Kluyveromyces lactis: one gene and its partner. The protein of the gene in region 1 interacts with the protein of each later gene in a pairwise test. Links are inferred from orthologs where the notes say so. Each region holds a gene or a part of one and is shown on either strand. Other genes may lie near its edges.

Evidence for each region. The genes of interacting proteins can lie anywhere in the genome.
Region 2: the proteins of LPD1 (region 1) and KGD2 interact in binary tests that used the Saccharomyces cerevisiae proteins (3 or more experiments, as listed by UniProt). The link is inferred for Kluyveromyces lactis from reciprocal best matches to the Saccharomyces cerevisiae genes LPD1 and KGD2.

Annotation. Positions count from the first base shown.
Region 1 is NC_006040.1:949,333-954,959, reverse strand, and holds LPD1 (dihydrolipoyl dehydrogenase), read right to left. Parts: upstream 2,912-5,627; coding exon 1,430-2,911; downstream 1-1,429. Other genes in the region: SEC59 (dolichol kinase), read left to right, coding at 1-721; KLLA0_D11143g (uncharacterized protein), read left to right, coding at 3,863-3,908, 3,997-4,241; tubulin-binding prefolding complex subunit GIM3, read right to left, coding at 4,381-4,770; ARO9 (aromatic-amino-acid:2-oxoglutarate transaminase), read right to left, coding at 5,120-5,627.
Region 2 is NC_006040.1:1,394,346-1,398,823, forward strand, and holds KGD2 (dihydrolipoyl transsuccinylase), read right to left. Parts: upstream 1,912-4,478; coding exon 505-1,911; downstream 1-504. Other genes in the region: SLX4 (Slx4p), read left to right, coding at 3,033-4,478. UniProt on the Saccharomyces cerevisiae protein: The 2-oxoglutarate dehydrogenase complex catalyzes the overall conversion of 2-oxoglutarate to succinyl-CoA and CO(2).

The DNA.
Region 1 (5,627 bases):
CATTAACAATGTCCCACCGTTCACATGGCTTATAGATTACATCGGTTCCTCTATGATCAGACTGAAAATAATGGGGATCTGGTTAGGTTCTGCATTATTGTTGTTGCCCAGTGTGTTTGCGTTGAAATCTAATTGGTCTTTGAATACGTCAAGAAAAGTTTGGCATTTTGCAATCTTACCCCTCTTGATTCCGGCAATCATGATGGATTCAAATTTTGTGAAAATTGCGTTGGCTGGAACTGTAAACCTTTTTCTCATTGTCGAGTACATTCGTTTCCTACATATTTACCCAGTGGGACACTATTTGGACAAACATTTGAGATCTTTCGCTGACTTCAGAGATGAAAAGGGGCCAATCATTATTTCCTACCTTTATTTCATTATCGGTATCTCTTTGCCCTTTTTGATCAATGGTTCCATTATCGGTATCATCTCGCTAGGCGTAGGTGATTCATTGGCTTCCATTATTGGTAAAAAATTTGGAAGAAACAGATGGCCAAATACTTGTAAAACTTTCGAGGGCACTTTTGCATTCATTGCAGCTACTGGCATAACTACAGTGATTATGAAAGTTTACTTTAACTTTTTCACCGAGGTGTCGTTCATGAATTTGGTTCTTGTATGTTTCCTAGCTGGCATCTTGGAAGGTAATAGTACTTTGAATGATAACTTACTAATTCCAACTTTCATGTTGATATTGTTGGAATCTATGAAGGAATAGTATTGATAGATAGTCAAACCTGTTATGCAAAACCTATATATTCAAAATTTGAGTATGTAGTAAATTTATAGATTAGGGCCTATTTTTGTTCCAAGGGTACTTCACTGACCATGTTTCCATCTTTCTTGCTTCTGAATAAGATTTGAATGGTCAAAATGCGTTATAAGTTAGTATTGTGAAACGTAATGATATAAATAGAAAATCATGTTTACACGGAGTGGTGATGGTTCACTCAAAACTCTTGTTAATAAGAAATTAGGGCGTGTGGCGTAGTTGGTAGCGCGCTCCCTTAGCATGGGAGAGGTCTTCGGTTCGACTCCGGACTCGTCCAATCTTTTTATTTCCCCTGTTCATTCTGGACCAATGATCTCTTTTTTTGATATAACGATGTGGTGCCTATTACACACAAGCTGAGAATGTTCTGAGAATTCGTTTACAAACATTTCATATCATTTACGTTAAATATATTATACGTGTTTACTATTTATTTTTGATAATCTTTACTTTTCAATGTATAGTTTGAAATCAAAGAATGATTCGAGGAATATATAAGAAGAAAGATGCTTCAGATGGCGAGATAAATAAAAAAAAAAATAGACGACAACTGGATACGACGTACCATTGTTAAGTAGCTTATTATAGTTATTGATATCAAGCAGCTTCAATTATCCGCAATTTTTTTTTTCCACTTCGCTTTATCAAGAAAAATTAGAAGTTGATTGGCTTGGCGTAAGCAGCTAAGTTAGCTTCCTTGAAAGCTTCGGATAGAGTTGGATGAGCGTGACAAACTCTAGCGATGTCTTCAGCAGAAGCACCGTATTCCAATGCTAAACCGGCTTCAGCGATCATTTCACCAGCGTTAGGACCAATGATGTGAGCACCTAGTAAACGTTCAGATTCTGCGTCGATCAAAATCTTAACGAAACCTTCGGTGTCCATGTTGGTTTTAGCTCTAGAGTTAGCGATGAATGGGAACTTTCCAATCTTGTATTGAATACCAGCTTCCTTTAATTGTTCTTCGGTCTTACCGACCCAAGCGACTTCTGGGTGGGAGTACATGACAGCCGGGATGTTACCGTAGTTGACATGACCGTGGCCGACCTTGAAGTATTCGGCAGCAGCGATACCTTCTTCTTCAGCCTTGTGAGCCAACATTGGACCGAAGGTAACATCACCGATAACCTTGACGTGTGGGAATTTGGTGGATAATTGTTCATCAATGACCAATCTACCACGCTTGTCGACTTCCAAACCGATCTTTTCAGCGTTCAAACCAGCGACGTATGGTCTTCTGCCGACAGCGACCAACAAGACATCAGCTTGGAGAGATTCCTTCTTACCATTCTTGGCACCTTCGACTTCGATGTCAACGACGTCACCGTTTCTGGAGGCAGACAAGACCTTGGTGCTCAACTTAAAGTCGAGACCTTGTTTCTTCAAAATCTTTTGAGTAGTTTGAGCGACTTCACCATCCATGGTAGCACCAATTTGAGGTTGGAATTCGATCACAGTGACCTTAGAACCCAATCTGGAGTAAACTGAACCCATTTCTAAACCGATGATACCACCACCGATGATAGCCAATTTCTTTGGGATTTCTTTCAAGGAAAGAGCACCAGTAGAAGAAACGATTCTTTCCTCATCAATGGTGATACCTGGGAATGGAGTCACTTCAGAACCAGTGGCAACAATAATCCTGTCACTTTCCAAGAGGTGATCTTCAGTAACGGAACCTTCCAGACCTTCCACAGGAAGAACCTTAACGGATTTGTCAGTTTCAAAGGCACCTAAACCTTTGTAGTAAGTGACACCATTCTTCTTGAACAACATTTCAATACCACCAGTCAATTGCTTGACGACAGTGTCCTTAGCCTTTTGAAATTGAGCAACGTTAATGTTGATTTCACCGTTGATATCAATACCTCTTTGCTTAGCATCCGTCTTCATTTGATGGTATAGGTGAGAATTGTTCAACAAAGCCTTGGATGGGATACAACCAACGTTTAAACAAGTACCACCTAGTCTACCTCTTTTCTCAACACAAGCAACATCGTAACCGAGTTGAGCAGCCTTGATAGCAGCAACGTAACCACCTGGACCACCACCAATAACGACCAAGTCGTGCTTCTTAGTAACGGTTTTCAAAAGAGCAGAAGAGCTAAAGGAACGGGTAGAATTGAATCTCAACATCTTTGATTAGGGCGGATATAAATAAACAAGATAAATAAGATAATCCTCTAACCTCTTACTTATACGTTATCTGAACCCTTTCTCTGTGGTTTCACTTGATATATTTCTTGAAATATAAAATATCCTAGTGAATTCCTTTTATATTAATGTCAATTGGAATGGAAAAAAAAGATTACGATCCCAAATAAATACAACTATTAGACGGTTTGATCAATTAAATAGCAAGAAAATTGATCTACAGGACTCAAATACCAGCATGATGCGGTAGGGTTTGGTGATTCACTACGGTACGGACCATATATAAACTACAATTATATAATTGAACGGATTGTAATTCGAAAAAATACTGTAGTATTCCAGAGAAGACCACTTATTTAACTGATCTATATTTCATCGTTCCTTTGCGCAACTTTTAAGTTGAAGAACCAGTTTTTTTTTTATCAATCTATTGAGCTTTCCAAACTGCCAGAGTCATTACTATTAATTATCGAAATGGGATAACACAGTGAACAGAAGTATCTTTGTGAAAAGCTGTTTCGCTGGTGTGATCTATAAAGGCGACGGCTCATCACAAAAAAGTTGCAACTGTCTTGACGTGGGGAACAGGGAAACCTTCGGAATCGACAAAAATTGAAACTATTGAATGAAATCAGTTGAAAAATAACGAAACGAACCTAAAAAAACGGAAGCCGTACGGGGGCCGACACGAAAGGCGCAGGGCGGGCTATCAAGAACGTGATTAACACGTGATTCAAACCGGGTAACGTTTATTAATTTATGATCACGTTGTTTTTTTTTGATTACCAGTTTTTCCTTCTGCCAAATACTCACTATGAGATATGATATCCATATAAAAGAATAATGAATCATGATATATGAAGGATAAGGGAGATTGTTAGCAAGAACAAAGAATAGAGTAGCAACAGTAATAACAAAGCATTAGCCGCAGATATGAGATTTGCACCTATTTTTATTGGAACGGCGTTGGCCAGTTCGTGTATGTTTAAGGACGGATTTTCTTAACCCTTTTTTTTCCCTTTAATTCTCAACTTTACTAACATCATCATCGTCATCGTCAAATACAGTATCTTCACTTATGGTTATATATCCTGACAGCTTCCAATACTACAATGATTTAGTGAATGTGGCACATGAACTTGATGGGACTATAACGCATGAATATACATTATTCAATGGGTTTAGTTTGGATTTGCCAGAAGAGTTTGTCGCTAAATTCAAGGAAATGAACCAACATTTTAATTGGGGGCTTGAAATAGAAGAAGACCAGGAGGTTCATGCGTTAGGTGGGCTGAAAGAACATGCTGTTTGATTGCATTATGGACTGAATCAACGTTGTGTCGGTCTTTACTATTATTTTCTATGTAGATTTTATACGCAAACATATATTACTCGGTTTAAGGATATTTTTTCAATTCTATCAAGCACTTCAGCAATGTATATTTATGGGCTCAACGTTCCAAATTGATGTTGTCACCGAATTTGGCATACAATATACTCTTTAGCTCTTTTATTCTTGAGTCCAATTCCGCCTCATCGCTCTCTAGCTTTTCTATATTGCTGTCGATGTTTTCAGCATCGGATTCTAACTTTTCAACTACTTCTTTCTGTTTTAGAAATACGAAGACGTCTCCGATCTTATATTGTACCTTCTCATCCTCGTCTATCAATTCAATTTCCAACGATACGTCGTCGAGGTACTCTTTCTCTGTTCTTTGTTGCGTCAAATCTTGTTCGATAGCATCTTTTCTCATGATCAACTTGGAGAACTCATTGATACGTTGTTGATCTTCGTATGCAACGGTGACCGTGTTCTTTTGACCCTCCGGTAGTAATTCCATTTCTAGTTAGTGTGTTGCGTGTAAGATGTGGTAGATGTCTCTGTGTCTACTCATGTCATGTACTGTTTTCATCTGTACTTTTAGCCATTCTTGTTATTTTTTATTCAACTTTTACATACTCTAAAGATTTATCTTGCAAATTACACTACTGACATGCAAAATTATGTCATGCAATTTTACAATTTCATGCTCAAAAGAAAGCAGTTGGGACATATTTCACGGCCCTATCAGGTTTATTGTTTCACGTTGTAATTATGCATTCATATATAAGTATCTAACTTTTGTTTTTATGGTGCAACGTGAGGTTGAAAATTAGCAATTACCAGAAAGAGCTGTAAAACAGACCCCTTCAGTTGTGATACTCTTTGAAGAATCTCTCAACACCTTTACCTAGCCTTTCAGCAGCTGTTTGTAAATGCTCTTCATCTGGAGCCATAGCAAATGTAATTCTTAAAAAGTTGGACCTGTCATATGAAAATTTCTTGTCAACTGCCATTCTGTAACCCAAGATTACAATGCAACCTTCTTCCAACAACTTGTAGTTTAAGAAATTCATGGCCTTTAATTTATCCGAGATTTCTCCGAACTTATCAAAATTGATCTTGATACTAATGAACATACCGGCAGAGGGTTCAATCAATTCAAATAATTCTTCTTTATAAGCTGGTGTAGCTTCCAATGCTTGGAAAAGCACATTTCTTCTATGTGTATACTCACCAGCAACTTTCATGACCCATGATAGCCAAGCTCTGACCTTGTCTCCATTGAAATTTTCTGCCCATTTGTCTATTATATTAATGGTCATAGCTTGGGCAAGACCACATGGCGATCTAACAGAAATGTCTGCATATTTCAAT
Region 2 (4,478 bases), about 440 kb from region 1:
CAAAAAAATGACTATATGAACAATACACTGGAGAATGTGGGGAAAATAGTTGGTGTTTTACATAATAAATCATGAATAAGTCGTCGTAATTCAGAATCGGCTTGAAATCAAAGTATGAGTATAATGTTTGTTTAGAATATCATGACTGGAATTGGTATCAGCTTGATAGTATAAATGCATTATACTTCACATATCTTGCAAATCAGAAAGCCCGATTTTTTTTTTAGATATCCTTTTGTTGTTTTCTTTTGTCTTGTATTGTTGATTAGCCTACTTTTCTTCTTTTTTTCTTCAAGTCCGTTTGCCAATATCTGGAAACAGTCATAGAGCTGAGGAATACGCATATATGTAACCATTGTTAGATAAAGAATACTTCTCTCTCCCTCACATATATTGCAGAAGGTGAATGGATACATTTGCATGAGTGCAGAGCGGGAGTTTCTGTGATGCCAAAAAAAAAAGAAGAACAATATCTATAAAGATGGAGAACTCTTTAAATCAAATTTAAGCCAAAAGCATCTTTCTTGGATCTTCAATCAATTCCTTGACAGTTCTCAAGAAAGTAACAGCCTCTCTACCATCCAACAACCTATGGTCATAAGTCAAAGCCAAGTACATCATTGGTCTAGAGACGATTTGACCATTAACAGTGACAGGTCTTTCCTTAACACCGTGCAAACCTAAAACAGCCGTTTGTGGCATGTTAATGATTGGGGTACCGTACAATGAACCGAAGACACCACCGTTAGAGATGGTGAAAGTACCACCAGCCATATCTTCCAAAGTCAACTTACCATCTCTGGCCTTCTTACCCAATCTGACAATTTCTTGTTCAATTTCTAAAACAGACAATGATTCAGCGTTACGAACCACTGGGGTAACCAAACCCTTTGGAGTAGCGACAGCGATAGAGATATCGGTGTAATCACGGTAAAGGATTTGATCTCCGGAGATAGCACCATTTACAGCTGGAATATCCTTAGCGGCCAAAGTACAAGCCTTAGAGAAAAGACCCATGAAACCGAATTTAACGTTCTTAGTCTTGATGATTTCATCTTTGTATAATTTTCTCATTTCCAAGACAGCGGACATGTCAACTTCGTTGAAAGTGGTCAAAGAAGCAGCAGTGTTTTGAGATTCCTTTAATCTTTCAGCGATTCTCATTCTCATACGGTTCATCTTGACCTTATGTTCGTTACGGGAGAATTGAGTGAAAGATGGGGTAGAGGATTCAGTAGCAGATGAGTCAACTTCAGTCTTCTTTGGAGCAGCAGCGGCTGGTTTTTCCTCCTTCTTTGGAGCTGGAGCAGCGGCCTTTTCTTCCTTCTTTGGAGTGGCTGGTTGCTCTTCCTTCTTAGGAGCAGCCTGTTGTTGCTGTTCTTCAGCAGCAGGTGCAGAAGCGGAAGAGGACTCTGAAGCGGCAGCACCGCCAGCAGGAGCTTCACCTGGCTCAATTTGAGCAATCTCTTCACCAACGGTAACAGTATCATCTGGAGAGAAGTTCAACTTCGCAATGGTACCGGAGATAGGAGAAATGACTTCGACGTCGATCTTATCGGTTTCGATAGTAGCCAACAGTTCGTCCTTTTCGATGAAATCTCCGACTTTCTTAGTGTATTCCTTCAAAGAACCTTCAGTCAACGATTCAGCCATAGGAGGAACCGGCACAGAAGTAGCATGACGAACTGCCATGAATCTAGTGTTCAACTGAGAAGGGGAACAACGGAATTGGAATGGACCAGAAGAACGACGACTCACGGCGTTAAAAGATCCATTTCTTGAAGAGATATCGGAAGAAATTCGGCTTGAACTAAAACTTCTAACCGCTTCTAATTGTGAAACAGTAGCACAACGAACCAAAGGCTTGTGCAAAGCAGATTTAACTGCAACTCTAGTAGAACTCCTTAACATTGTTGGAATGGGACAAAACCAAAAGTGAAAAAGGATAATATATTATATTATAATCTGTGTTTGTAGATACACTCCGAGACCTGAGTATATTTCCGAATGTTATTTCTGAAGAGTAAATGGATTCAACTGACTTGAATACCTTTGCTCTATATTTGGTTTAGAAACAAAATTATCAAATGTGATAATTTATGATGATTATGATTCAAAAGAAAGAAAGAAGGAAAAATTTGGTACGAATTCAAAAAGGTTCCTTATTTTCTCAACAGGAATCAGAAAAAAGTATCTGTCTTTCTATTTAATTCAAACTGTAGTCAAAATTAGCTCAAAAACGGACCGTTTTATAAATCCTGGGGTTAAACATTCAATGTTTAAAGGCAACCTTTCAAAGAATTGAACTTTATTATCATTATTATATATATAATATATATATAATAATGGCGAAAGTGCATACAGTAGGTAATTAAAATGTGCTTACTCAAAAAACTTGGAAAATAGGGCCCTTTGGCGGAGCCAATTACCGGAATACCAGCTCGTATGAAGTGATATGACGGAGACTCGGCGCCGACCAGAACAGAAGAGCAGAGAGCACAAAGAAAGACTAAATAATCCGGTCCGGATCGTTAAGAGTGAGTGATGAAGGACGGGAGGATTGGATTTAATTGCACCGAAGGGGTCGCTCCGGGAGTCGAACTGAGGCCATAAAAAGTAAGAAGAGTTCCGGGAATAAGGAATAAGTAATAACAAGTCACGTGTAGAGTACGTTCGTATTACATTCGTATTACCCCGACTAACCCTGTTTTATTTCGTGCAATGCATGAAAAAATATCGCGTTTTCTCGATTTCTCACTGCTTCTATGCAATTTGAGGTTCATCTCTATAATTGTATTTACTATTCTTGATTTGGAATCATGCTGGCATTTATCATTATGTATCCCAAACTCTATTTCTCTCTATTTCTCTCTCTCTCTATATATATAGTACGTGTTAGTGTGTTACTGTACCAACGTATGTTTATGAGTGGCCTTGCGGTGCGTCAATTGGAAAGGACTGCTGATATACCAGGTGACTGGTATACTTGTAAGATATAGACAGAGAATTCAATAGCAAACCTCTCTTTCCTGATGCATGATGAGTTGGAAAAAGCTGGTAGGCATTTGCTGATGGTGAACGATCATTTGTCTGAAGATTCAGTGGAACAGGGTGATATTTGCATGACTCAGGTTCCTACTATGTTCAGCGATGATGAGGATCAAGATGAGGAGCAGGAGACTGAGATTCCACCGGAGGAAGGTGATGATGATATTCTGATCTCTACTCAAGTCCAAGGTGCCATAGATGAACTGAACCACCAGGAGACTGTGGTGCACACCTTCCGCAATGTTCTGTCAAGATTTGCGCTGGAAACACAAGATCAAGCGGATATTCCACTGGTGTCTTCCAAAAAAGTGCCAGTCAAGAAAGTGATAAAATCCTCAAAGGTCAAGCAGCCGACAGCACGATTGCAGAAAAGAATCAAGAGTATTACCCAGTTCAATACAGATAATTGGGAATCAAATAGAGTGAAGGATAGGGCTCAGAAGATGATTTCGATTCTTTCGGGTAAATCTGCCAAGGTTAAAAAATTGGTGTCGAAATTGGACTCGGAGGCATCTGCAGATGCGGAAAGTTTACAGGATTCTCATCCGACACAATTTGCGCCCTTTAATGAATCAGAATGGCAACATATCGTTGGCCTCCTACGAGAAAAATTACCAAAAGTTTCTAGAAGCGAGCTAAACTCGGTACAGCAATACGTATACGGTGCTGATGAACAGCACAATCTTTGGAAAGCGTCTCAGTTATCCCCAGAAAAGCAGATATCTTCTCAGTGCTCAGATGGAGAGTCTGAGACTATTCTTCCAAGTTTAACGTTGGATAACAATGCGCCTGTGTATACGTTGTCTCAACTTGTCGAAGGAGAAAGCAGTAATAACCGGTGCTCAACGGAAGATGGATTGAGGTTCAAACCGATCTCGAACCCAAGCTCTGTCATCGAACAGGAACTACCAATTAGCATAGACGTGCCTTCATCTGAGACGGATGTACCGTCTCAGATAGCCGATTCATGCGATAGCGGGTCTATCATTAGCTTTGAAGAGCTGAGTTTCATGATTCAAGACAAGAACAAGGCAGACGTCGATTACGATATACCATGCTATTTACCACCAGATTCCAAGACTTTACCCACTGGTGAGAAAACGAAAAGGGAATATTCCAGGGCAAACATAAACGATCAACTGATAAACATATCACAAACGTCTTACGATGTAGTGTCCTCCATCGTATCTCCAATGAAGGCCCAAAGAACCGGGACTATTCAGGTGCCCGCAACGAGAACTACTACCTTTCAAGACCAACAACAACAGAATCAGCAACAAGCTTCAAAACCTGCTAATGTCGTCAAGATATATGTTGATAGCAATAGGGACTCTAATGACGTTTTCGCCAGTGTTAAGGGGGAGGTAGATACGCAAGAGCAAGAAAGTTTGTCTACTTTAACTACTTCTATGTTGCATGATGATAATAAC